4 linked regions of the Caenorhabditis elegans genome follow. The protein of the gene in region 1 purifies or fractionates together with the protein of each later gene. This does not show direct contact. Each region holds a gene or a part of one and is shown in the gene's direction. Other genes may lie near its edges.

The links.
Region 2: the proteins of sod-2 (region 1) and pho-8 fractionate together in Caenorhabditis elegans (co-fractionation; one large-scale study listed by BioGRID). This does not show direct contact.
Region 3: the proteins of sod-2 (region 1) and sod-1 fractionate together in Caenorhabditis elegans (co-fractionation; one large-scale study listed by BioGRID). This does not show direct contact.
Region 4: the proteins of sod-2 (region 1) and dhs-21 fractionate together in Caenorhabditis elegans (co-fractionation; one large-scale study listed by BioGRID). This does not show direct contact.

The regions. Positions count from the first base shown.
Region 1 is NC_003279.8:8,431,158-8,437,069, forward strand, and holds sod-2 (Superoxide dismutase [Mn] 1, mitochondrial), read left to right. Parts: upstream 1-3,392; 5' UTR 3,393-3,398; coding exon 3,399-3,451; intron 3,452-3,584; coding exon 3,585-3,757; intron 3,758-3,804; coding exon 3,805-3,941; intron 3,942-4,166; coding exon 4,167-4,418; intron 4,419-4,469; coding exon 4,470-4,520; 3' UTR 4,521-4,629; downstream 4,630-5,912. Other genes in the region: dpt-1 (Dipeptidyl peptidase 3), read right to left, coding at 1-18, 95-198, 242-314, 378-499, 545-740, 863-1,129, 1,177-1,308, 1,354-1,484 and 2 more; F10D11.2 (uncharacterized protein), read right to left, coding at 4,913-4,975, 5,024-5,068, 5,115-5,195, 5,252-5,315, 5,364-5,431, 5,638-5,703, 5,749-5,912. UniProt on the Caenorhabditis elegans protein: Destroys superoxide anion radicals which are normally produced within the cells and which are toxic to biological systems.
Region 2 is NC_003283.11:11,830,529-11,837,169, forward strand, and holds pho-8 (intestinal acid PHOsphatase), read left to right. Parts: upstream 1-3,090; 5' UTR 3,091-3,116; coding exon 3,117-3,296; intron 3,297-3,663; coding exon 3,664-3,756; intron 3,757-3,805; coding exon 3,806-3,961; intron 3,962-4,147; coding exon 4,148-4,567; intron 4,568-4,612; coding exon 4,613-4,732; intron 4,733-4,837; coding exon 4,838-4,972; intron 4,973-5,018; coding exon 5,019-5,123; 3' UTR 5,124-5,180; downstream 5,181-6,641. Other genes in the region: col-158 (Nematode cuticle collagen N-terminal domain-containing protein), read left to right, coding at 1-330, 378-500; nphp-4 (uncharacterized protein), read right to left, coding at 750-830, 874-1,041, 1,886-2,031, 5,430-5,557; R13H4.2 (uncharacterized protein), read left to right, coding at 5,882-5,892, 6,197-6,275, 6,445-6,567, 6,612-6,641.
Region 3 is NC_003280.10:6,970,678-6,976,575, reverse strand, and holds sod-1 (Superoxide dismutase [Cu-Zn]), read left to right. Parts: upstream 1-2,688; 5' UTR 2,689-2,695; coding exon 2,696-2,743; intron 2,744-3,074; coding exon 3,075-3,158; intron 3,159-3,201; coding exon 3,202-3,360; intron 3,361-3,404; coding exon 3,405-3,558; intron 3,559-3,602; coding exon 3,603-3,700; 3' UTR 3,701-3,870; downstream 3,871-5,898. Other genes in the region: putative very-long-chain enoyl-CoA reductase art-1, read left to right, coding at 4,342-4,459, 4,504-4,734, 4,779-4,918, 5,209-5,518, 5,573-5,700. UniProt on the Caenorhabditis elegans protein: Protects cells against oxidative stress by converting superoxide radicals to hydrogen peroxide. Required for normal brood size. May be involved in regulating mpk-1 phosphorylation downstream of phosphatase ptp-2 during oocyte maturation.
Region 4 is NC_003283.11:12,730,414-12,736,690, reverse strand, and holds dhs-21 (L-xylulose reductase), read left to right. Parts: upstream 1-3,045; 5' UTR 3,046-3,129; coding exon 3,130-3,187; intron 3,188-4,020; coding exon 4,021-4,130; intron 4,131-4,181; coding exon 4,182-4,482; intron 4,483-4,527; coding exon 4,528-4,646; intron 4,647-4,691; coding exon 4,692-4,859; 3' UTR 4,860-4,924; downstream 4,925-6,277. Other genes in the region: xbx-9 (XK-related protein), read right to left, coding at 712-1,265, 1,320-1,476, 1,738-1,885, 1,972-2,438; zfyv-19 (FYVE-type domain-containing protein), read right to left, coding at 4,968-5,257, 5,354-5,442, 5,823-6,091. UniProt on the Caenorhabditis elegans protein: Catalyzes the NADPH-dependent reduction of L-xylulose, D-xylulose, L-(+) erythrulose, D-erythrose, D-threose, L-ribulose, 1,4-dibromo-2,3-butanedione and 2,3-heptanedione.

The DNA.
Region 1 (5,912 bases):
ATACTTGAACATCAATTCCTATAAAAACTCGGATTAAAGGGCAATAATAACATAACGTATATTTTAGAGTTTCGTAGCTGTTAAAGTAATGTACCTCATCGTGTTCATCTAAGAAATTCATTTTCTGCTTTGGTTGAGCTGAGATTACATTTCCAAGTGAGACATTTTTGAATCCTTCGTTTTGACGAATATCATCGTCTAAAATTTATGAATAGAAGTCAATTTTTTTTCGAACACTTACAGTTGGGAATATTGATTCCTGCTGGAATTCCACTGCTTCCAAACGCGATCACATCCAAGGCAGTGAAGTCGGGCTATAAAATTAACGTTTAGCTTTCGAGTAAAAGTAAATTTTAAAGAATTGATAAAATCGTTACCTTGAGGAAAGTATCCTTCTCATAGTCAGTACCCCATGGAAGACGCTTCAAAATATTCTCAGCATTTGCAACCAATGTCTGGAACTTTTTGGAAGTCTCCTTGTTGACAGCAGCCACAAAACCTAGGAATTGCCGTTTTTACAACTGAAATTTCATGTACAAAACACCTTCAAACTCTGAGCGAGTTCCGGCTGGATCTCTGTAGTTTTCAATGAATCCAATATAACTCTCGACAGCTGGCCCAACGTCCTTAATCCAATACCGAGAACCGTCCTTGTGCAACGCGATATCTCCTTTTTTAAAATGTTCAACGTATTTTCGCAACATTTCTTCCTGATTCTTGTTGGCCGCAGTTGGAATGGCCTGAAAATAAAATATTTTAAATGACAACTTCCCAGCTAGAATTCACTGACGTTGATTGTTACGAATAATGGATGTTTTTCCTATACTTTACAATAAACCATTCAAATTTTCCCCATTCTGACCTTGTCCAACCATTCATGAGTTCTCTTCATAATCAAAGCGTAGTCTCCTCTGACAATTTGTACAACGTCTCCTTCAAATTCAACAGCTTCTGACACGATTCCCTCTTCAGAAGATGCTAATTTGATGGTGTATGTGGTCTTTCCATCGGATCCAACCTCTTTGAATAATCGAGAATTCCATGACTCAACATTCCGTTGCTTGAAGAATCTATCAATTTTCTCGGCGTCAGCTTTGGTGACGTTTGAAGAATGATAGCAAGTGACTCCCTCAAAAAATACTTAATCATTTTGCTGTATGCCCGTGATATACGAACCTTATCACCAAATCCCAACTGAAGCTCGTTAGACTCCAACGATCCAATGACCTTCTCCACGGACTCCCATGTCTTCATAACTTTCTCATCAGTTCCAACGGCAGACTTCTCGAGTAAAGCACGGATTTTGGTCTAAAATTATGTCTCCACACTTGTCCGAATTTTCAAATGAATTACCTGCTCGACACCTGGGACGATTTTTGTATCTCCGAATCCCTTATAATTTCCAGAATTGGAATAAAAAGCTGCAGCATAAACAAGAAAAGCTTGCCATTCAGCATCGGTGAATCCTACGGAAAGTGCCTTTTCTGCAAACAAATGGATTAAATAAAGGACGCAGTACTGTAAATGCTTTTTTCATACCCTTCAACTGCTCGACAGACTCCGATTTGAAAAGTCTGTACAAAACGTAGAAAATCGGCGCAGATTCCGGTGAAACTTGCAAGAAAACTGCAAGAGCACCGTCAAAAGATGCCTTGGCCACGTAATGAGAATACTTTTTCTCCTTCTCAGATAACGTCTTGAAAGCATCAGCCGCATCTAGCTGACAAACTGGTGTTTCGTTTGGAATTATGTAGAGGCTACGGTCAACAGGCATTTTGTAAGGTAGGGAGTTGGAGAAGGAGAAAGTTGAGGTGGAGACAAACCTGAATAAAAACGTTGAACCCAACGGACATCAAAGTATCAAAGTAAGTAAGTAAGTAAGTAACCTGAATAAAAACGTTGCATATAAAAAATCTACTCGAAAATTAAGTGAGAATTGAAGGATTGCTTTCCGAAGAGAAAATGACAATTATAGGGTATACTAAAACATCAAAAATGTATATTAGACTACCATAAATATAAAACATCAGTGCTGCTCTCCAAGCTATTCTGACGGATTGCGACAACGAGCTCGCTGGAGTTGGCATCAGTGTGGAAGGCAGACACATAAGAAGACTCGAATTTGCGGATGACGTAGTCCTGACATGTTCCACACCGGGAGAAGTTCAAGAACGACTGGAAATTTTGGACCGAATAAGTTCTAATTACGGACTCAAGATCAATCAGTCAAAGACTGTTCTTCTGAAGAACAAGTTTTGCCGGAGCCAAGACGTCCTTTTCAACGGATCCCCCATCATTCCCGTGCCTGGTTGCCGCTATCTGGGTCGCTGGATCGACATTTCTGGCTCAATTGACGAAGAGATCTCGAGGAGAATAAGAGCAGGTTGGGGTGCTCTGGTTGGAATCAAAGAAGTCTTGAGAATCATGCCAAACAAGGAAAGAATCATCCTCTTCAAGCAAAATGTGCTACCAGCTCTCCTGTATGCTAGTGAAACTTGGACTTGTAATGCTGGATCCACGTTGAGACTCAAAAGAACTGTCACCGGTCTCATCGACGCTGCAGAAATTCGAGGCTGGAACTTCAACTTGGAACGTTACCTCCTTGCAAAACAATCAAGATTTGCAGGACACATTCTACGGAGAGATCCAAACCGATGGACAAAAATCTGCACGGAATGGGACCCGAGCCACAACAAAAATTGGAAACGTGCCGTTGGAGGACAGAAGAAGAGATGGGCTAAGGACATCGACGAAGAATACGCAAAATTCCACCACAATTCCGCCATGTCGGGACAAGTCGTTGTTGGGAGAAGAAGACTAGGAATGCTCACTCCGAAGGCTCCATGGCTGTCCATCGCACGAACCGACCGTGAAAAATGGAAAGAGTTTGTCCGCAGTTGCCTCGCAACTTGAACCCAACGGACATCAAAGTATCAAAGTAAGTAAGTAAGTAAGTAACCTGAATAAAAACGTTGCAATTAAAAAATCTACTCGAAAATTAAGTGAGAATTGAAGGATTGCTTTCCGAAGAGAAAATGACAATTATAGGGTATACTAAAACATCAAAAATGTATATTAGACTACCATAAATATTACGATAATTTAAAAATTACTAGAAACACGCAATTCGGCTCAAAAAGCAACAATTTAGACTGAAAACGAGCTAAAAGAATATTATTCAAAAACCACTTTGCTCGGTAAATCTGGTGTATCATGTTCCGCAAACACTGTCTTTTGTTTTGCGTACTTTGTTTACGCGCATTCGAATTTCAGTGTTCGCGCTTTTTGTTTACTTTTTTATTTTTCATCCAAAAATCGTATTTTCAGCTTGATATGTTTCTGCGAATTGTAAAAATTTATATTTGACTATTGAATATTTTAATTATTTGCAGCCGAAAATGCTTCAAAACACCGTTCGCTGTGTCTCAAAGCTTGTTCAACCGATCACAGGGTTAGTTCAATTGTTATTTATGGTTGCTGTTATATTTACTTGCGAATTGTGGTTTAACCTGTAGTTTCACCTTTTTTTCAGATATATCAGTTTAGGCAAATAGATTCCTAAACTATAATATTGAAATTTTTAGAGTCGCTGCTGTTCGCTCGAAGCACTCGCTGCCAGATTTACCATACGACTATGCTGATTTGGAGCCTGTAATCAGTCACGAGATTATGCAACTTCATCATCAAAAGCATCATGCCACTTATGTGAACAATCTCAACCAAATTGAGGAAAAGCTTCACGAGGCGGTCTCCAAAGGTAATTTTTTTAATTACTCAGAATTTCGGAAAGAACACTGATTGCAGGAAACGTCAAAGAAGCTATCGCTCTTCAGCCAGCTCTCAAGTTCAATGGAGGAGGACATATCAACCACTCCATCTTCTGGACTAATTTGGCAAAGGACGGAGGAGAACCATCGGCGGAGTTGCTCACCGCAATTAAGGTAGTTTATTAGTCATATCAGGCAGTCAATAATAATACTTAAAGTTAAAAGTCGATATTAAAAATGTAGTGAACACGATTTGTGCGGTCAAGGCTGAGATTAAAATGATTCAACGTTTTAGAATTTTGTATAATCGGCTTAGCCTTTACAGTATTTTGAAATTGATATTTAATTCGCATTGAACAACTCTAGCACTGGCCATTGTTCAATTTAAAACATTTTCAGAGCGACTTCGGATCTCTGGATAATCTTCAAAAACAGCTTTCGGCATCAACTGTCGCTGTTCAAGGATCAGGATGGGGATGGTTGGGATACTGTCCAAAGGGAAAGATCTTGAAGGTTGCCACATGTGCCAATCAGGATCCACTTGAGGCAACAACTGGACTTGTTCCACTGTTCGGAATTGACGTCTGGGAGCACGCTTACTACTTGCAGTACAAGAATGTTCGACCAGATTATGTCAATGCTATTTGGAAGGTAGTTGTCACTTTCCATCAAAATTAATATTTTTAATTTAAAATCTTTCAGATCGCCAACTGGAAGAACGTCAGCGAGCGTTTTGCAAAGGCACAGCAATAAATGAGCTGAATCACAAGAATTAATCGTCAAATGTAGCAGTAGAAGTTGACTCCCATTGTTTTGTAACTATTTTTGTTTCTTAATTATTTCGAAATGTAAATTTTCAAACCTTTTCAAATGAAAAGTTTTCACCGAAATAGCTCTTCGAAGCAGCAGGGAAACCTGTCCATTCATTGAAGTATGGCCTCTAAAAATCATGTTATATCAAAAAAAGAATGAAAAAAATAAAAAAGAAATAGTAAAAAAACTGAGAACTAAAAACTAATTCAACGATTCATATCAATTGATAAAATTTTTATTGATAAAATTCATTCATTGATATTCAAAACAAATACATGTAATTCATTTTCGGTGCAGTTATTAGGGGAATTTGAGATATATACAAATTATTTTTACAAATTTCGCAGAGTATCGCTCAGATGAGAGTCCATTTGTTGGTGAATGCGTCGGTCTTTCTGAAAAAAGTAAAGAAATAATTGATAGAAAAGAAAATAGAAACTAACATGATATTGTGGAGGTAGAAATGCTGATCGATGTAATGGTTCATGCTGAAAATATAAAAATTTGGAAATTTTTGACCTGAAATAATATTACATTTGCAACAAATGGAAGGAAACTGCTATGATGTGAGTGATCGGTGAATGAGCGAAGATCTGATTCCAGAAGAGATGGAGCCTGAAGAATACAATTTTAAAAACTAATTTTGAATAAATTTGAAAGATCAAACGTACATCAACAAGTAATTGAGAAACTCCATCAACTGCTTTCCATAAATTATTCGGATCAGTTTGGAATCTGAAAAATCAGAGAAGTTAGGATTTTGAACAGAACTTTAGTGTTTACTTGGAGTCTGTAAGAGCTGATAAACTGCTTTGAGCCTGGTGAGTTGTCGGGTCCAGTGCCGAAGAATTCTGGAAAAAATCAAAATTTAAAAGATACTCAATTGCCACCAAGAGTGTCGGTATTTCAATTTTTCACTCTAATCGAAAAATTTAGTTTTATGATATTTCAAAAAATAGCTTTAAATTTTGATCATTTTTCTTCTTTTTTTGATAAAAAGTTGAATTTTTTTGTAATTGTTTCCTCGTTTTCGATTTTTTCTGGAGAAAAAACTAACGAGAACGTATGAAGAAGCCGTGGAAAACACTGGTTGCATGAGAGTAAGGTCAAGTTCTGGAGCTCTCTGAAATAATTTATAATTATTAGAAATAGTTGAATTCCAGGATACTTGAACACATGGAACTACAATTGGTTGATAAACGTTTTCCTCAATATCGATTGAATCATTTTGTGATTGATCCAATTGTTCCATTAATTGACTAGTATCCGATGAATTTCCAATTGTTGAATGTGTTGAAAATGTTGGACCCTGATCTTGATGAGGTATTGTAG
Region 2 (6,641 bases), on another chromosome or scaffold:
TATCCAGGACGTCCAGGAGAGATGGGACCACCAGGACCACCAGGAGACGATGGAAAGCCAGGATCGAATGGAGAAAAAGGACAAGATGTCGAGCAACCAACACCAAGAAAGGGACCACGTGGACCACCAGGAGATTCTGGACCACCAGGACCAGAAGGAGACGCTGGAAACGATGGACCAGTTGGAGCTGCAGGAGCACCAGGACCAGACGGAATCAACGGATTCCAAGGACCAGGTGGACCACCAGGAGAGGAAGGAAAGCCAGGAGAAGATGGAAAGGTCGGAGACGATGCTGCCTATTGTCCATGCCCAGACAGAAACGCTCCAAAGGTAGGATAATCATTAGAATCTAAATAACACTTTTCAAAACTTTCCAGGAGAACTACGCTTCTGCTCCATCCCACAACCCATCAAATGCTCCAGGAGCCAGTTATTCTGCTGGAACCGGTGGATACTCTGGTGGCACTGGACATGCCCAAAACAGCTATGGAAAGAAGTAAAAGCGAGACACTTAATCTTGCTGATTTATCATTTCTTTCTTTATTTTTTCAATTTTTCACACTATTTTACTTGTATTCCTATCATGAGCAACTTTCAAAAATCGAGCATCAGCGGGTTTGAGTCGAGCCTTCAAGTGGTTGAGTCGTCACTTTTTTCGAGCCAAAAGTCTTTCAATAAAGAATTCATTTTTCAAGATTTCAACCGGAATATCACAAAAAATAAAAATTTGCAATGAGACAATTTGAAAATCAGGAAGCTTCGAATGCAAGTGTGATTGAATATGCTTCTTCTTGTACATAAGTCTCCGCATCTGATATATACAACAATGTCTGAAATACTAGAATGTAAATATTTAAATGATTAGTTAATTACCTCTATATTCTTTTGAAGATGTGTATTCTTCACAAAATACATTTCACATGGAAGTTTTCCCATAGGTGGAACTGACAACAGACTATCCGTAATTTTTACAATATCAGAATTTGATGTGGTGATTCGGAATGTCTTTGGTAAACCATATGGGTTTCTTATCGGGATTCTCTGAAAGAAGGGTTTTCGTCAAAAAAAGGTTATGACCCCAGATTGGTTTTTTTTCTGTAAAATCATTTAAATAAGGATTTCTCATATAAGCTTAAATTATACAATATCCAAATAGGTTTATAACCCTAGAAAACGCCATATTCTAAAGGACCTCACTTTGTTTTTTTTTCAAACTATGTAAAATTGAAATCAATTGAGATGAACAGTTTCTATAATATTAATGATTGTTGTAAGAGCTTTAGACTATTCTACCAGGAAAATAGTTGTACTTCGTTATTTTATACATAAACTTCTTCGACAAATTTTTCACACTCTAAGAAGTTGAATATTTTTCATTGACTTATTAGGACTGTCAGGGAAATGCTTAAAGTTCTCGGAAACCAACACAGAGAACACACATACATTTGAGTTGTTCAGTCCATCGGTTTGTTTTCAAATTGAAAAAAAACCTCCTTATAGTCTAAATTTGAATTTTGTTATCTGTTGTTTCTCTGATTCATTTCAAATTTTAATTATTTGCTAGCATGACAATGAATAACAGTAAACAAAAACATTCTTACTGTACACAAATTTTGAAAAAATGTTATTTATTTTAATGTTAGATGTGTTTAGTTTGAACGGATTTTTTACCTTATTCTGAAAGTTGTCTGTTGCATGCTAGCCAAATAAAGAAGTATCATGAAAATCACAGTTTCATGCCCCAAAAAAATTAAATTTAGTGAGCGATTTTGACTTTAAAAAATTCTTGTTATTTTAGTTAAAATAATAGTTTGAAATGTTTGGAAATTACTGTCGATCCAAACTAAAAATCTTTAACATTCAATATTATATAAATTCAACAAACCTTTCTAATAGCTTCATCAGATGATGGAATTTGTATGACAAACTTCTGCGTAATCCGTGGCGCTTCAGACTTTCCGTAAACCAAAAACCCTCGTTCTAACTTCAATGTATTGGTATTCACAACAGAAACGACAAGCTTCTTTGTTCCTGAAACAACACGTGAGGTCATGAAAACGCGGGGGTACTAATCGGATGAGTTTGTGAAATTTGGAATTTTAAATGACTTTGTGGATATTTCTCGCCTGGATGCGCCTAGTTTGCACGTGGAATCAACTATTTTTGCAACTATACTGAACATTTTCTTCATGGCTCTGATGTATGTCTAAGAAGATTAAAATGCAAGGAGAGATAACATTTTTGCGTTTTTTCGACCGTATCAATTTTGTGAGCTTCATTTTTTGGATGTATTTGTTCGTTTTTTGAAATAAATGTACTTATGATCTTTCCTAACTTTCGATTTATTGTCATTTCTTTATCAATATATATATTTCAAACAATTTTTTTGCTGAAAAGCAATATTCGGAACAATTCGATCATAATTGCATTCTGCAAGTTAAAATTGTGTCCCTAATGTAAGTTTCCTGACGACTTAAGAACATGACAATTAAAATTAAGCAATAGATGTATGTAGATTATTTTTTGATTATAATGGGTTGAATAAAAATGTATTCAGTTACATGGATTCAAAGAGTAGTAGTCATAAATAAACTCGCGAGGTGCTAGGTGAGGTAGCATATTCGAAAATACATAACTTTGTAAAAAATGCTAGAAAATACCACAAACATCATCGATAAGCTACCAGCGAATAGAACATTGGCGGGCACTACTGTTTTTTGCTGCACTAAAATTTCAAGACCGATCGACAAAATTCTCCGTATTTGTTTCCAAATTCGGGAACTTCAAACCCAGTATTCGTTTTAGATAAAAAATCATTTTTTTCCGTGGGAGTAAAATGTTAACTGATAACAAAACTTCATACAATTAACAGTCTTTCGACTCCTCCCCACTTTCACTTTCTATTTAAATCCAACTACACCGCACTTTTGCTCTATTTTGGAACATACTCGTCTCAATTTCGACGACGTCAAAAGAATCAGAATTTCCGTCATCAGATAGCGTGCGATTCTTGTATGTAACCTGATAGACCTGCATGAGAACTCGTCCCCTTTTTTGCGACTTTTCTGTCCGGTATTCACTTTTTCAATTTTTTGCAGAGATTTCTAGACGACGTGATGATGTTGATACAAGGACTTGTCATATTTCTTGCCGTGTTCAATAATATAGAATCTAGGAAACTTGAGTTTGTACAAGCACTGTGGCGACATGGAGACCGTGCTCCTCTACACTTACCGTATCCAAATGACCAGTACACAGAAAAAGCTTGGTCAAGGGGATGGGGGCAGTTGACTTCGGTTTGTTTTATTAAACTTTTAAAGAAATGTACTTGTTGAATATTTGTGAGTTCTTACGCGATCTTCTATCATATCACAATAAAATTATAATTACATTTAATTTGTTTCAGCTATAAAGAGTGACCTAAAAAACGGAGCAGAAAAAATGTTTAACATCTCCCAGTGACGCTCAAATAACCAAATATCACAGGAAAAGTGTCAAAATTTTTGGTTATAAATTTTGGATATAGTTTTTTAGAACTGACTATAAATTATGAAAATCTCAAATATCTTATAGTGTTTTAATTAGTTTTTCTGATTGATTTCAAATACACGTTGACAAAACCTTCACTGGCGCTACTTTGCCTTAAAAACCTATTTATTTTAGATTGGAATGCAACAACTTCACGAGCTCGGAGAGTTCTTCCGACACCAATACGTGGACTCTTCATTTATTCCGTCTAATTTTTCAGTGAAAGAAGTAAGAAACTCAATACCATATCTGTAAATTAAACTCTTGAAATTTGTAGGTCTACCTGCGCTCTTCCGATTCTGATCGTGCTTTGGTATCTGCACAAGCATTTCTTTACGGGCTATACCCAGCTTCTGGTGGTTATCAATGGAGCTCAGATATAGACTGGCAACCTCTTCCAGTACATGCATCTACTCCAGGAGAACCTGATTTGGTAACCGTTGATTTTTAGATTTAAACTAAAGTTGTTCTTATGAGGTTTTATCACAAATGCGTCAGAAAGACAAAAGAGATTAGAAAGTACGTAAGAACAACTGATAAAACATTTTGAAGCCCAATTTCTATTTCCGGAGAGTGACTATTCATTATAGACTACATTTACTAAGATAAACTGATTCAGGTGTGCAAACCAACTGCGATAAAATGTGCTCGTCATGAAGTTTTAGTGGCTCAAGGCGATCAAGAATCAAACGCTTATTATAGTGTTAAGTATGCAGACTTCTTCAGTGAACTTTCTCAAACTACAGGATTCAAACACTGTTCATATATGGATATTAATGGATTATTCGATATACAAAGAGAGTTGATTCATAACATGACTGCAAAACAGCCTTATTGGGTTACACAAACCTGGCCTCAATATGACAATCGTACTTCAATGGACATTATAACTGAAATGAGGACCGTTCGAATGATGAATCTATTTAATTCAGAAGAGAAAGGAAAACTTGAAGGAGGCTCCGTTCTTTACAATTGGATTCAAAATGCAATTGCAGTTTCTGAGAGCAGAAATGATCAGAGAATGCTTCTTTATTCTTCGGTAAAATCTAATGGAAACTGAGAAAATCTATTATATTAATTTCAGCATGATGGTGTTCTTCTTGCACTTCTCAATGCATTCCGTGCTTCAAATGAGATGATGGTTCCTTATGCGGCTGCACTTATCATGCATGTTTATTCAGACAACGGAAAATTTTATTCTGAGGTTAGTTGTTCAATTGAAATAAGTTTTATTAGGAAACTTGGTTAACAAAAAATTATTTATATTTTCTTTCAAATTAATGCTGATGGTTCATTTTAATTTATTCAGCTCTACTATCGAAATGAGACTACATCGGATCCATACAGAATTCCGCTTTCCCGATGCCCGGAACCTTGTGAAGTGTCGCAATTGGCAGTGGCTTTTTCAAATATGACAGTTACAAACTACTCGGATATGATGACGGTAAGCATAATCTTCTCATTATAGACCAAAGTTCGCATATTTTCAGTTATGCGGGACTCCTCTCAAAGCATGTGGAAACTCGTCTTACACGTTCAACTCTTTATCATTTTTCTTACCATTTCTCTTAGCGAGTTTATTTTATTCAAAATGAACTAGATCTTAACATTGGTTCCCATGGAACCATTAAATAAATTATTGCTATCTTACATTTTAAATGGTTAATGTTTTATAGAGCAAATTTAGAAAACCCAAAAGAGTTGAGTAAAGATTGACGACAAATATCCTTGGTGTATTTTTCTCTATTTTTGTGTGGAATAACGGTATTGCTCTTTGCACTTTTAGATATTGTAAATAATTTTCTGAACATTTAACGGGTAAATAGAAACGTTTTCATTTTTGATTTGACAGTACGCAAGTGCTCATATGTATATCACATTTTGTTGTATTAAAGGCTTACCAATAAAGTTTGGTGTAAAATCAATTGTGGCTGTAGGTGTTCTTTCAGTGAGCACAGAATCCACAACTTTCATACATCCAGATGCTGTATACACTTTCAGTAAATCATCTGGCACTCCATCATGCTCGCTGAAAATAAACAGATAAAGAACGTAATTCCTATCATTTTGTTTATTGTTCATCTATTCTTCATTTTTTGTGTGTTGTTTTCTTCTGAATCCCCACCAGATGAGAGTGTGGGAGAGAAAAAGAGCGACCAGGTGTTGGAATCCAAGCATTTTTATTTTTTGTTTTCTTCCCGCGGGGACCAAACAACTGGCACATCGTCCTCCTCCGCCTTCGCAAAAGATTAGGAATCAAGAAGAGGCATGAAAGATAGAAAATAGAAGAGGACAAGAGAGCACACAAGGGGCACATCTGCCATTCAGAAATACCGACTCAGGCGCCTGCCAAATGGTTTCCAGGTTTAGTTTCTTTTAATTTTTGTTAAAACTTGAACTTTGTAGTTCACACATTGGATATCAAAAAGTGTGATTTATTTTTTAGTTTGTGCTACTTCTATTTTGTAAGGTGTGGAAGGTTAAAAAACTAAAATTAATACAAAGATCGTCTTATAAGCGCAATGTTGATGGTACCTTTTATTTATTTCGGGAAATGCAATGAAACTCCTATTTATGTATTTTGATCAAATTTAAGCTCTCACTTGTAATTTTTTATTATTTCAATCTAGTACTAGTACAATACTAAAATTATCAATTACAATTACAGTATGACCGACTACGCCTTGGTGCGCTCTCGCAGCGCACTTGTCCGTTCTCGATCGGTTGAACCGAGCTCTCGTCTTTACGTAAGTTCACTTAAATCCTGATTAACTATGAACTGATCAAAAACCTTTCAACTTCTGGTTTATCTCTCTCAATAATGTTACACAATCATCACTTTAGCCCCGTTGGCACCAGGTGCCAATTAAGAGATCACGCGTGAAGGTAACAAAAACAAATGCATCATTTTTCCAGGTCACCCGCACTTCATCAGTCCCAGACTTGACCGCTCACTTCCGTTACTCGGATAAGTACCGTCCACAATGGCATACTGTCTACCAATCGACTCCATACCGCTGGCGTCGTGACTGGGATTTGGTATGAGATGGCTTTCTTTTATTTTTTGAGAATTAAAATTTCAGTACGATGACTACTGGTATGACAAATACTAT
Region 3 (5,898 bases), on another chromosome or scaffold:
ACTTTCTTGGATATCTGGGATTTGACATTTTGCCAGGCATGAAGCCCGGATTGCAGTTGGCCACCAAGTTTTCCATGGCTTCTGTCTTCAAAGTGAAACTTCATGTCAATTCAGAAAAAACTCCAGTGACGGTCTGCCAATGCCACGATATTGCACGAGTGTTGAAACATCGAATCGAACTTCTTGCGAAATCTCGGATACTTCTTGTCAATGATATTGGTGAGCAGGACAAAATATGGAATCCACTCCTTCTCGTCCTTTGAAGGCACGATTTGTTCTCAAGAAACGTTCCGAATAATACGATAGTTCAACCAGCCTGTACAATTCCTGATTTAATATTTTTAGCTCAGGTAAAATAATATATACGGGGAAGCATTCTGTTGAATTTGTGCCCTCCGGTTCAAAATACCATAGTCGCAGTTATATAAACGATTTTTTGCAGAAATCTGGCGATAGAAACTGGACAAAGACGACGAATTTCCCAAAATCCACCAAAAAGTCCATATTTTATCAATATAATTATCAATCGATTCTTTTTTTTTAATTTTCTCTTATTTTTCACAAATTTTCTCAATAAATTATAATTATGTTTTATTCAAAGCAGTTAAGACTCATTTTCTCGCTAGGTACAGTAAGAAGTGCACAATGTCGTAAAATGCGGTGTATTGTGTGCAAACACCGTTTTTTCGCATTTTTCTCGGCCCTCGTTCGAAAAAAGTCGCAGTGCTTTGGTGCAGTAGCCGTGATATCTTGATGTACTCCATTCTCTTGATTTTTTACAAAACATTTCTCCGCCTGGTATGAGCACAGCCATGCTTGTGATTACATTTAGAAAAACCATATACCAACTGATCGGACATGCCAAAGAAGAAAACAATATTTTTGAAGATGCATAGCTCTCTGATAATATCCTTAGTCTTCTCAGAGACTATTGAAAAATATATTCTGAAAAGATAAACATTTATAGGCACTTTCCAATTGAAAACTCGCTGTTCAATAGATCTCAAATGGCAGAGAACAATTTTTAGGTTTTTCGGTGGGAGACGAAGAAGAGGAAAAGAAGAGTCACCATTCATCACAAGAGAATAAAAGCAGAATGAGACAACAATAATCCAGGACCTATTCAAAGAGCACCTTGAATATCGATTGCCAGTTGACCCCTGAATCATTCTCTTGGGTTTTTAGCCCCCTTCTTTTCTCACCTCCATTGTCTACATCATAAAGACCAAAAGGATATTCTACGTCAATAGGAATTGTCAGAATTATCAGTTTTGATATCAAAAATTGCCAGCTTTAGTACAGTAGAATAACTATGCGATTCATGCTGCTTATTATTTATTCAAAATTTAAATTTTAACCAACTGTGAGTTTATTTTATAGAACATTTTTCGAAATAAAATTCAAAAAAATAAAAATTGTTATTTTTCAAAATCTTAATCTTAATTTAGCACCATTACCGACAGGCAATGATAGAACACCAAACCGGACTGACCAAGTGTCGTACCAGTTTCGAGCAATCAAGTATTGAGAGACTGATATTCTTGCTGATACTATACTCTTAAGATATGAAACGATATCTACCCCTCTAGCCCCCTACTCGTGCGCCCTCAGTTACCTACCTACCCCGTTACCTACCCTACCCTACCTACCTACTCAGTCTCCTACCTACCCCGACCGTATCATATCTTTAGAATATAGTATCAACAAGAATACCAATCACCCAACCCCAATCACTCGAAACCGTTAGGCACCAGGTTAGCCAGTCTGGATTAATCGAGAGTAAACCACTTGACTCCAGACAACTACATCTTATACTTACTTACGTCTGGGGGACAATCTTGGGATTCTCAAGATGACTTCCATTACGAAGTCTCTTGCAATAACCAATTACCACAATTTTGGAGCAGAATTAAACTCACCCACCAGTACAGGATCAAAGATGAATAATGAATGAGAGGCCCTCCTCTCATTGTTGTGGGCGGGGTCAAGGGGTCAAAGTTTTTTGAATTTCGAAATTTTGAAATTTTGGAATTGTTAAATTTTTGGAAATCTAATTTTTGAAAGAACCACATTTTCCGTTTACAATTTGAGTTCAATTCCGCAACCCCGTCAAATTTAAGAAGAGAAAGAAAAAAAACACAACGTGTTTGCACCTGTAAGGTAGTTTTTTTTTGTTGCCTTCGGCGTTTTGATTCACATGAAAGTTTCTACGGAAAAACTTTCATTGCATAACGATCTTCATATCTTGTTTCTGGAAACGAAAATTTCCAACATGAAAGAAACCCGACGCTATTTATTCTCGCAACACAAAAATTTCACATTTAAATAACCGCGGTTTTTCTCGAACAGCATATTTGACGCGCATTGCTCGTCAAGTTTGATGCGTGCACACTATTTTGCTGTTGTTTTTTTCTTTTTTCTCTAAATTTTCTTTACGCTTTCGTAGTTTCTATAGAAACGATTCTCCACTCCCGGTTTTCTTCCGATTCTCAAAATTAATTAAAATTTAGTTATTAAAAATCCTTTTTCTTGAAATAATCGTTCAATTTCGAGTTTTCAAGAGTGGAGACGTTGAATTTGTGAGCCGCTTATTTTTTCTGTGTTTTTGTTTTGTGGTTTTTAATCAGTGTCATAATCATACTTTCCATTGTTTCTTTATTATTCAAAGTTGTAGATTCAGTATTTTAGATCGGTGATGTTTATGAATCTTCTCACTCAGGTCTCCAACGCGATTTTTCCGCAGGTCAGTGCTTATCCGAAACATTCGTCATTCGCAACTTGGGCCTATTTGATCTATGGCGTTGTGTTGTTGCCTTTACCTTAATTATCATCATTTTCATCAGAAACCCACAAAAACTAGAGACATAGCTACAAAATTCTGCGACCGAGAGGCGGGTACACACACAATGTTGTCTATTTCATCTCGCTCCACCTTCTCTCTCTCTCTCTCGTGTTTACCATTTCTTTTTTAATTTTGCATCTATCGACTGTGATCTGCCTGTTTTTTTCTAATTCTAAACTTTTTGCCGTGATATTCCTTAGAGTGTTCCCTAGAAAATTCGTTGAATTTACAGGTCGAAGCCGCTCAAAAAATGTCGAACCGTGCTGTCGCTGTTCTTCGTGGAGAAACTGTTACCGGTACTATCTGGATCACACAGGTTAGCCGAGTTTTCCGCTTAAATCATTTGTATTCTTTTTCAGAAGTCCGAAAATGACCAGGCAGTTATTGAAGGAGAAATCAAGGGACTTACTCCCGGTCTTCATGGATTCCACGTTCACCAATATGGTGATTCCACCAACGGATGCATTTCTGCCGGTCCACACTTCAATCCATTTGGAAAGACTCATGGTGGACCAAAAGTATGGAAATTTTTTATATCGCTTGAATTATAATATTTTTTCAGTCCGAGATCCGTCACGTAGGCGATCTAGGAAATGTGGAAGCTGGAGCCGATGGAGTGGCAAAAATCAAGCTCACCGACACGCTCGTCACGCTTTACGGTCCAAACACTGTCGTTGGCCGATCTATGGTTGTTCATGCCGGACAAGACGACCTCGGTATGAACAATTCGAATTAAAAATCAATTTAGTAAACTTTCCAGGCGAGGGAGTCGGAGACAAGGCAGAAGAGTCCAAGAAGACTGGAAACGCCGGAGCTCGTGCTGCCTGCGGTGTCATTGCTCTCGCTGCTCCCCAGTGACTACCTGAATCGCGTCTCTGAATCTCCACACAATTCCTACTAAAGACAATTTTTCATTTCTTGCTTTGTCGTTATATTCTTAAGAATCCCGTTGTTCCTACTCCTACTACTGTATATTTTCACATAAAATTTCTTCAAAATTTCAAATAAAGGTTGTAGTTTCCAATTTCTATGTTTTACAAATCTCAATGTCTCTGCTCATTATATCAATACTTCACTTTTCAGTTTTGTTACCAAACTGCCATAAATGTTGTGCCAGCCGTTAAACTATCAACAAGTTCTGACGGAGAAGGGCGATTTTTCGAGCAGTTGAATAAGAATCACCTGATAATGAGGCTATTTCAAAAAACGTTTAAATATTATCGCTTTTCCCTTATTTAAGGCAGACAAAAATCTTTGAAAATATAATAATTTCTATTTTTTAATGCATTTAGTAAATTTTATTTCGAGGTCGTTCGTTTCAATTGGCATTTTCACAATGCTTCTCTTCTTTTTTTATCAGTTCAATTGATAGCGACCCGTAAAAGAAAATCACACCATTTTTATAATAGTGGACTGCAAAAAATTCGTTTCTTTCTGAATAGAGCCAGTTTTTGTGAAAATTCCTTTTTTTCAGTTTATATAAAACCTCAATTTTCAGAATGAGTGGGATTCTGGAGGTTTATGACGCAAAGCGTACGGACAATCTCATCATCACCCTCGAGGGAATTTCTGGATCCGAAACGATCAAAGCTATCAAGAAGCGAATTGCCCAGAAAAGTTTGTGAATCGAAATTTATGATTTATTAGCTAAATAATTTCAGAGCTGAAACTCACCGAAGAACGTCAGGCTCTCCGTGTCGAACCAAAGGGTAAACCATTGGCTGATGACCAAAAACTCTCCGATCTTGGACTTTCATCTCAAAAAGCAGTTTTATATGTAAGAGATCTCGGACCACAAATCGCCTGGAAGACTGTCTTCATGGCTGAGTATGCTGGACCTTTGTTCGTTTATCCGCTTTTCTATCTTCGACCAACTTTCATTTATGGACAAGGTGAGCCGGATTAATATTATTTCACACAATATCTTACATTACAGCCGCTGTCAATGCTACCATGCATCCAGCAGTACAAATCGCCTTCTTTGCATGGAGCTTCCACTACGCCAAGAGATTGTTCGAAACTCAATTCATCCATAGATTCGGAAACTCGACTATGCCACAGTTCAATTTAGTCAAGGCATGTTTCAAAAATAAAAATAAAAACAATTGAGTAAAAAGTAATAAGGGACACTAATAGTAAGTTGCAAAAGTTGCGTTGATGAAAAAATTATTTTACGCTCTACGGCAATTTTCAATCTGAAATATAGCAACAAAAAAAAACTAGTAAAAACGTTGAATATGCCTAAAATTCAAAGTTAGAATATTTCGTACAACTTTAGGTAGTTTTAGTAGAGAATTTTGAAACGGACAAGATTAAAAATAAAATTCACTAATCGATAAACAAATTTCTATTTCCTGAATTTTCAGAACTGCTCCTATTACTGGGGATTCGCTGCCTTCGTCGCCTACTTTGTCAATCACCCACTTTTCACACCACCAGCTTTCGGAGATCTTCAGGTTTATTTCGGACTTGCCGGTTTCGTGATTTCGGAGTTTGGAAATCTCTCGATCCACATTCTTCTCCGCAACCTCCGTCCAGCTGGAACCCGCGAACGTCGTATTCCAAAGCCTGATGGAAATCCACTTTCTCTCCTCTTCAACTACGTTTCGTGCCCGAACTACACATATGAGGTCGCATCATGGATCTTCTTCTCCATTATGGTCCAATCTCTTCCAGGTAAATAAAAAACTTGTAAATATAATTGATTTTATTCATAATCTTAAAATTTAGCAATCATCTTCACCACCGCTGGATTCGCTCAAATGGCAATCTGGGCCCAAGGAAAGCACCGCAACTACCTCAAGGAGTTCCCAGATTACCCAAAAAATCGCAAGGCCATCGTTCCATTTGTTCTCTAAATTATCGCATTTGCGCCGAATATTTATTGTATTTTTCATGTACTCTTGCAGTTCTATTATTACCAATCCGCTTATTTCAATCAGTAATTTATTAAATAGACAATTTCTCCAGATAAATGTTTGCTTGAAAAATGTTGCAAGTCTTGGTTGGTGAAAAAAAAGCGTTAATAAAAGAGAAAAAATGTTTAAATAAAAATA
Region 4 (6,277 bases), on another chromosome or scaffold:
GGGCGATCTTCGTGAGGTCACGCCCTGACCATCTACCTCCCGAACTCCGCGCGGACACCGCGTGTTACGTCACTGACTATCTCCGCCCGCCTAGAAAAGGAAAGCACCTCTCTCGTTTCGAATGGACAGTAATCCTCACTGTACTTGAGAGAGCCATGGCCGCGGCCGCGACTGGCGCGTCCATTGTTTGCTCGATCACTCTCTCTTACTTTCATTTACTCTCTCAGATTTCAATTTCACTCATCTCTTTCATTTTTCCATCTTGTAGGTTAAGGAAGTACGGGGGGAAGTACCTAGTTACTGCCCCCCAGGTACTGACCACTGTCTCTGCACTCTTTGTTTATCAACACGGAGGTGAGGAAAACCGCTAGCTAAGCGGTGCCAGCATGTTGCAATAGGTAGCAAAAGTGAGTGTACACTGAGAAATGTGTACTTTTCTTTTTCCGCATTTTGACCTTTCTAGGAAATTGAGTACTTTTGGCGTATGTTAAGTGATACTTAGGGAGAGCATTAAACAGGGTTAGTTTTTACTAATTAAAAAAAAAGCTAAACACACATAATAAACAGTTATAATGAGTTCTAAATCATAACTTTACTGTCGTAATTATGCATTTACCGGAGTTGTTTTTCATTTTAACTTTTGAAATTTGTTAACAGGGAGTTTATTTAGTGAAAATGAAAAATTCAAATTAACTTAAAACTCTTAAGCTCTTAGTTCACTTGAGCTGCAGGATGTCCGTTATCATATGCCATTGATGGAGTATAGACAATTGTTGTTTGCATGTTTTGTGGAAGTTGAAGCATACCAGGAGCGAATCCGATTCCAGGATACATTGGTGGAGCTTGTGGATGACCATGAGCTGCACCATGAGCTGGCGAAGGTACTTGGTGGGGAATTGGCATGGGTTGAGGATGTTGAGCGACTGGAGCAATAGCATGATTAACTGGAGGATTTGGAGGTGTTGGTGGTGGTGGACTCTTTTTCTCTCCGGTATCCATTAGCAATGGTTGATTTTGGGTTGCGATGAAGACCTTGTTCTGTGTGGCGGTTGGATTTCCAGTTGGGTGATGTTGACGACGAATCCATTGATCAATGGCAAATCTTGATGAAACGGTTAGGAAGAAGGCAACTAGCATGAACAGGCTCATGAACAAACGAACAGTGTCAAATGTCAGAAGTTGAATTGCCAGTGCAGTGTAGTATACAGTTTTTTCATCGTCCGAGTTCCAAAGGTATGGCGCGAAAAGTTCGGCGATTTTCACATCTGAAAAGAATACGATAAAACCAATTAAAATTCAATTCAGTTGCAAAAACTTACAAAACTCAAACCATTGAGGAATATTCATTACAATTACAGCAGCTGCTCCAAAACCAAGACGGCTACGTGCATCATCGACAACTGGATCACCAGTCAGAACTGCCATGTTTGTTCCGGCTGCTGGTTTTGGTTTGCACATTAATCCAACACACAAGCACTGGAAAACATTTTTGATTTTCTATATTTAAATTTCATTTGAAGGTGGAATTGTTGAATTACTGTCAATAGATATGTGTAGGGGTGTAGAAGTAAAGTGCAAAACAATTACACTGAAAACGATCTTTAAATAGGATCACACCACTTGTTGGCTTCGGTTAAATTTTCTACTATTCTTTGGATTTTTTCACACTTTGTTTAATACCTCACTAATGTATAACTGGGCACTGATGTCCACCTTTAGAGATCAAAAATAGATTACCACTAGAAGCTCGGCAATGATTCCCACTGTGCACAAAAGGTAGGTAAAAAACAGTGCAGAAGCAGGAAGTGGGTTCCATTGGGATGCGATGAAATGATATGAACCAGAGAGTATAGCAGCAAAGAAGAGCACAGCAAAGTAAGATGTCCTGGAAAATATCGGAGGCATCAACTATTCATTTAACAAAAAATGTTATTCAAGATTTTTGCTGTGTCATTCTAACCATTTTCTTACCATGAATCACAAGGATTAAAGTTTTGTCTTTTCCTTGCAATTACAATCAACGCCGAGAGAAAAATCACAGATCCAATGGATGTAGTGAGGACTGCTGTAGTGTAAAACCAGTTGAAGAACATCAGAAAAACCATGTACCACCATCCATAAGCTCCAAGCATGATACTGTAGATAGCCAGTGCAATCTTGAACAGAGATGACAGTCCAAGTGGAATGTAGACAATAGTCAGAAAGACCTTCGTGATATCACGCTTCATTTTCAAAGAAAGCAGAAAGAAAACTGCGATGATTGAAACTTCAATTGCGGAGAGTCCAGCTCCAATTGGTCCTCCGTAAAATGCTTTCTTTGTGTAGAGTTCATCAGGAAAATCACAGCTTATCTTCACTTTTTTCTTCACAGTTGTTGAATTACAAAAAAGAGTGGTAAGTAAAGGAAGACCCGGGACTGGGTCCATGTCCGTCGACATGGTTACACGATCTTTATATCACTTCAATAGTTGGGATTTTATTGAAGCTGAGATTGAGAATAAGAAATGTGGCGAGTTGAGTGGCTAGATTGAACAGGTGAAATGCCATGTTGCTATGGTTACTCGTCACGAAGTTTCAGCTGTTCTTGGACGCAGATCTTGTGATATTGAAATTGGTTGTTGATGTAAAAAAAATTAAGACGGAGACACTAACGAAGCTAGCCAAAACAAACTTTTTACGGAAGGTTGAGCTTAATGTTAAGTGGGACATATACGTTTGATGGTACCTGAAACTACCAGGAAAGTATGATATTTTGCAAGTCTTTGAACTTTTGGGATCATTTTTGCTCTTGAACTCATCCTCTAATATATATCATAAGCAGCAAAAACAAAGTACTCGATTTTGCTGCTTATGATATACTATTTTTTGAAACGAGCGTTTTAAAGAAAATTGTGTACATTGTTTCGGTGCTCAATAGTTTCATTGTTACATACTTTGCAAAATGAAAGGGTTTTCCCTGTCGATCTCGAAATAGAAACCATTATGACGATCATCAATACACAATTGGACGCAGATTGTTAGAGGAATGGCATTGATAACAAAAATAGTCACAATATAAAAGTTGATCGTGTTGGGTAGAATGGGGTAGATACTACACATTTTCTGATATTCATATCATCTGACGAAACAATGCCCGCCAATTACGATTTCACTGACAAACGTATACTTGTCACAGGAGCAAGTCAAGGTAAGTCTTGAGATGTTGAAAAAGTTAAGATGGGTTGTTTCAATACAAACCAAATACACTTGTTTTGGGTTCCATTTAACAAATATGAAATTGAGATAGCTCACTACAGGAAATAGACTTGATATTTAGACAGAAAGTTATGTTGAGATAAGTTTTTGTACCACTCGGAGTTGGTGCCAACTTATTGCCCAACTTTTGACCTATAGTTGAAAACTTCACGGAAAACGTCAAATCTCTTTTCCGACGATTGTTCTATGTTTTGAGTTTAGATATGTTTGCAAGGTTTGAATTGAAGTTGACCAGGTTTTCCCTGGTCTAGTATAAGTTTATTTGTAGTTTGAAGTAAGGAAATGTTAAAAATTATCTGCTCAATTAAAAAAAACCATTAAACATTTGGAGCCACTGAATCAGTTTTCTGAAATCTCATGAAGATTTGTACTTTTTAAGTTTTCAAAATGTTTAATCCATATTAATTTAACATTTCAAATTTAGGCCAATGTGATAAAAGACCGATGGTCTCTCTGATTACTTCCGGTGTAATTATGATCTAGTTCAAATGGAGAGGAAAACGTTGATATACGATAATATGATAACACTATAATCTTTAATCAAAAATTTGTTGTATCATCAACATTTTATCATTCCGTTTGAAAATTATAATTATTTTACGATTATGTTTGAGGAAATTTCTGGCATTGAAAACAAGAGTACATCCTTCCTAGTCGGTAAAAAATATATTACGCGAACAAAGCTAAAAATAGAATAAAAATCGTTCATGAAGACTTCCGATGGGGTGATTGTGAATCATACATCACAATTTATCACATTTGCAGGAATTGGAAAAGAAATCTGCCTTTCGTTGGCCAAAGCTGGAGCGCAGGTTATTGCATTCGCGAGAAATGAAGCAAATTTGTTGAGTCTTGTCAAAGAGACTACTTCTTTGGTAAGTGAAAATATAAAATATTACACCAATCTGATTAAATTAATATTTCAGAGATATACAATAATTCCAATTGTTGGAGATGTGAGTGCCAATGAAGAGGTCCTTTTCAAACTTATCGTACCACATTTCCCAATTCATGGTCTTGTAAATAATGCTGGAATTGCAACAAATCATGCAATTGGACAAATTACTCAACAATCAATTGATAGAACATTTGCAGTCAACGTAAGGGGACCTATTCTCATTGCACAATTAGTTGCTAGAAACTTTGTGGATAGACAAATCAAAGGATCAATTGTTAATATTTCATCACAAGCAGCCATTCGTCCATTGGATAATCACACTGTTTATTGTTAGTTTAAAACTTTACTGAAATAATGTACATCTGAAAGTTCAGGTGCATCAAAAGCTGCTCTTGATATGGTCACAAGATGTCTTGCAAATGAATTGGGATCCCAGAATATTCGAGTTAATAGTGTCAATCCAACTGTTGTGATGACTGATATGGGAAGAGATGTAATAATTTTCAAATTGAAAAGAGAGCATAATTAGACTTTTTAGAACTGGAGTGATCCTGATAAGAAGAAGAAGATGCTCGACAGAATGCCGATCAAACGTTTTGCTGAGGTTGACGAAGTTGTGAATGCTGTCCTTTTCCTTCTTTCAGACAATGCTTCAATGACTACTGGATCCACTTTGCCTGTCGATGGAGGATTTTCGAATAACTAAAGTTTTTAATTTTAAGATTGAGACGATGTATATAGGTGAACAATAAATACATTTATTTACAAGAAGCTCGTAATTTAACATACATAGAAAAAAGATAAATAATATTTACTATTGTTTTGAATCTTTTCTGAACAACTTTTCAAATAATCCCTTTTTCTTCGGTGAGCTCGAGTTGCTCGGTGTTGACGCCTTGTTTGATTCCGAAGTTTGAGGAGGCAGATCTTCTGAATTTTCGGCTTCGTGAAGAATCTTTTTGAAAGTCTCTTCGTCTAAGGACTTCTCGTCTTCATCTTCATCTTCATCTACAGATAATTTTTCGTTTCTTCGATCCCAAAATCCACCAATTTCTTTCGTGATCTTATCATTCCATTGAATAGCGTCAAGAGACTTCTGACGAGCTGAAATTGTAGCAAAATTAAGAAATTAAGCTGGCAGTAAAAAGGTTTGTAAAAGACTGTGTTGAAGAAATATTCAAATTTTCGTTTTAAACTTACTAGATTTCATGAGAGTTCTGAGTTCAGCGGCATCATGTTCTTCTTGCTTCTTGGTTTCAGCTACACGTTGTTCTGCGTCTTGAAGAATACTGGAATACTATTGAATATGCGTAAAACTTTAAAAGTCTACAGCAGGGTTAGTACTTTTTTGGGGTTTGTTTATTTTTGTAATATTTCGACGAAAATTTGTTTTTTTTTTTGGTTTTTGTGACAAAACACCAAAAAACTAATTTTCTATATTTTAAACACTTTTCATATTTTACAAATGTTCTTTAGCAAACTGTGGTTTTCAGTTTTTGTAAAAAGTTCCAATTTTCGAATCCAAAAAAAATTTTGTTTGATTTTTTTTGGTTCGAATTTTTCGGTCCCAGTTCTACAGCTTGCTGACTGAATTTTATTGAAAAGTATTGTAATTCTCAAAAAAAACTGTATTTCAGTTTAATTTCAAATAAAAAATTCACCAACTCACTTATTAATCTCATTCATTTCTTCTTTCGTTGCTTCACTAAACTCTGTGTTTGCAGAAACCATTGATTCTCGTATTGAAGCATCATCTTCTCTATTTTTTTCTTTTTCATCTTCAAATATTTTCCTACGTCTTGCTTCAAGCTCATCCCAGTCTTTATGTTCCATTTCCTCTTCTTTTTTTTCAATTCTTGCACGATCTTCAGCTACTCGCATTAATTCAGATGGATTATTGGCGTTCATCGCAGGTTCCTTGGAAGAAGACTTTAGCCACTGAAATGTTAAAAATGGTATTTAGGCGTAAAAAATCAACTTCTGAGGTGGACGGCAATTATTTTCGGAAACTCTACAAAACGACCTACTGGCCAATGTTTTTCTAAAATCTTACAATAAAAATTAGTGTCAAAATATAGAAAACTATTTTGTTTGAAAGAAAATAACATGTATTTCAGTTGAAAC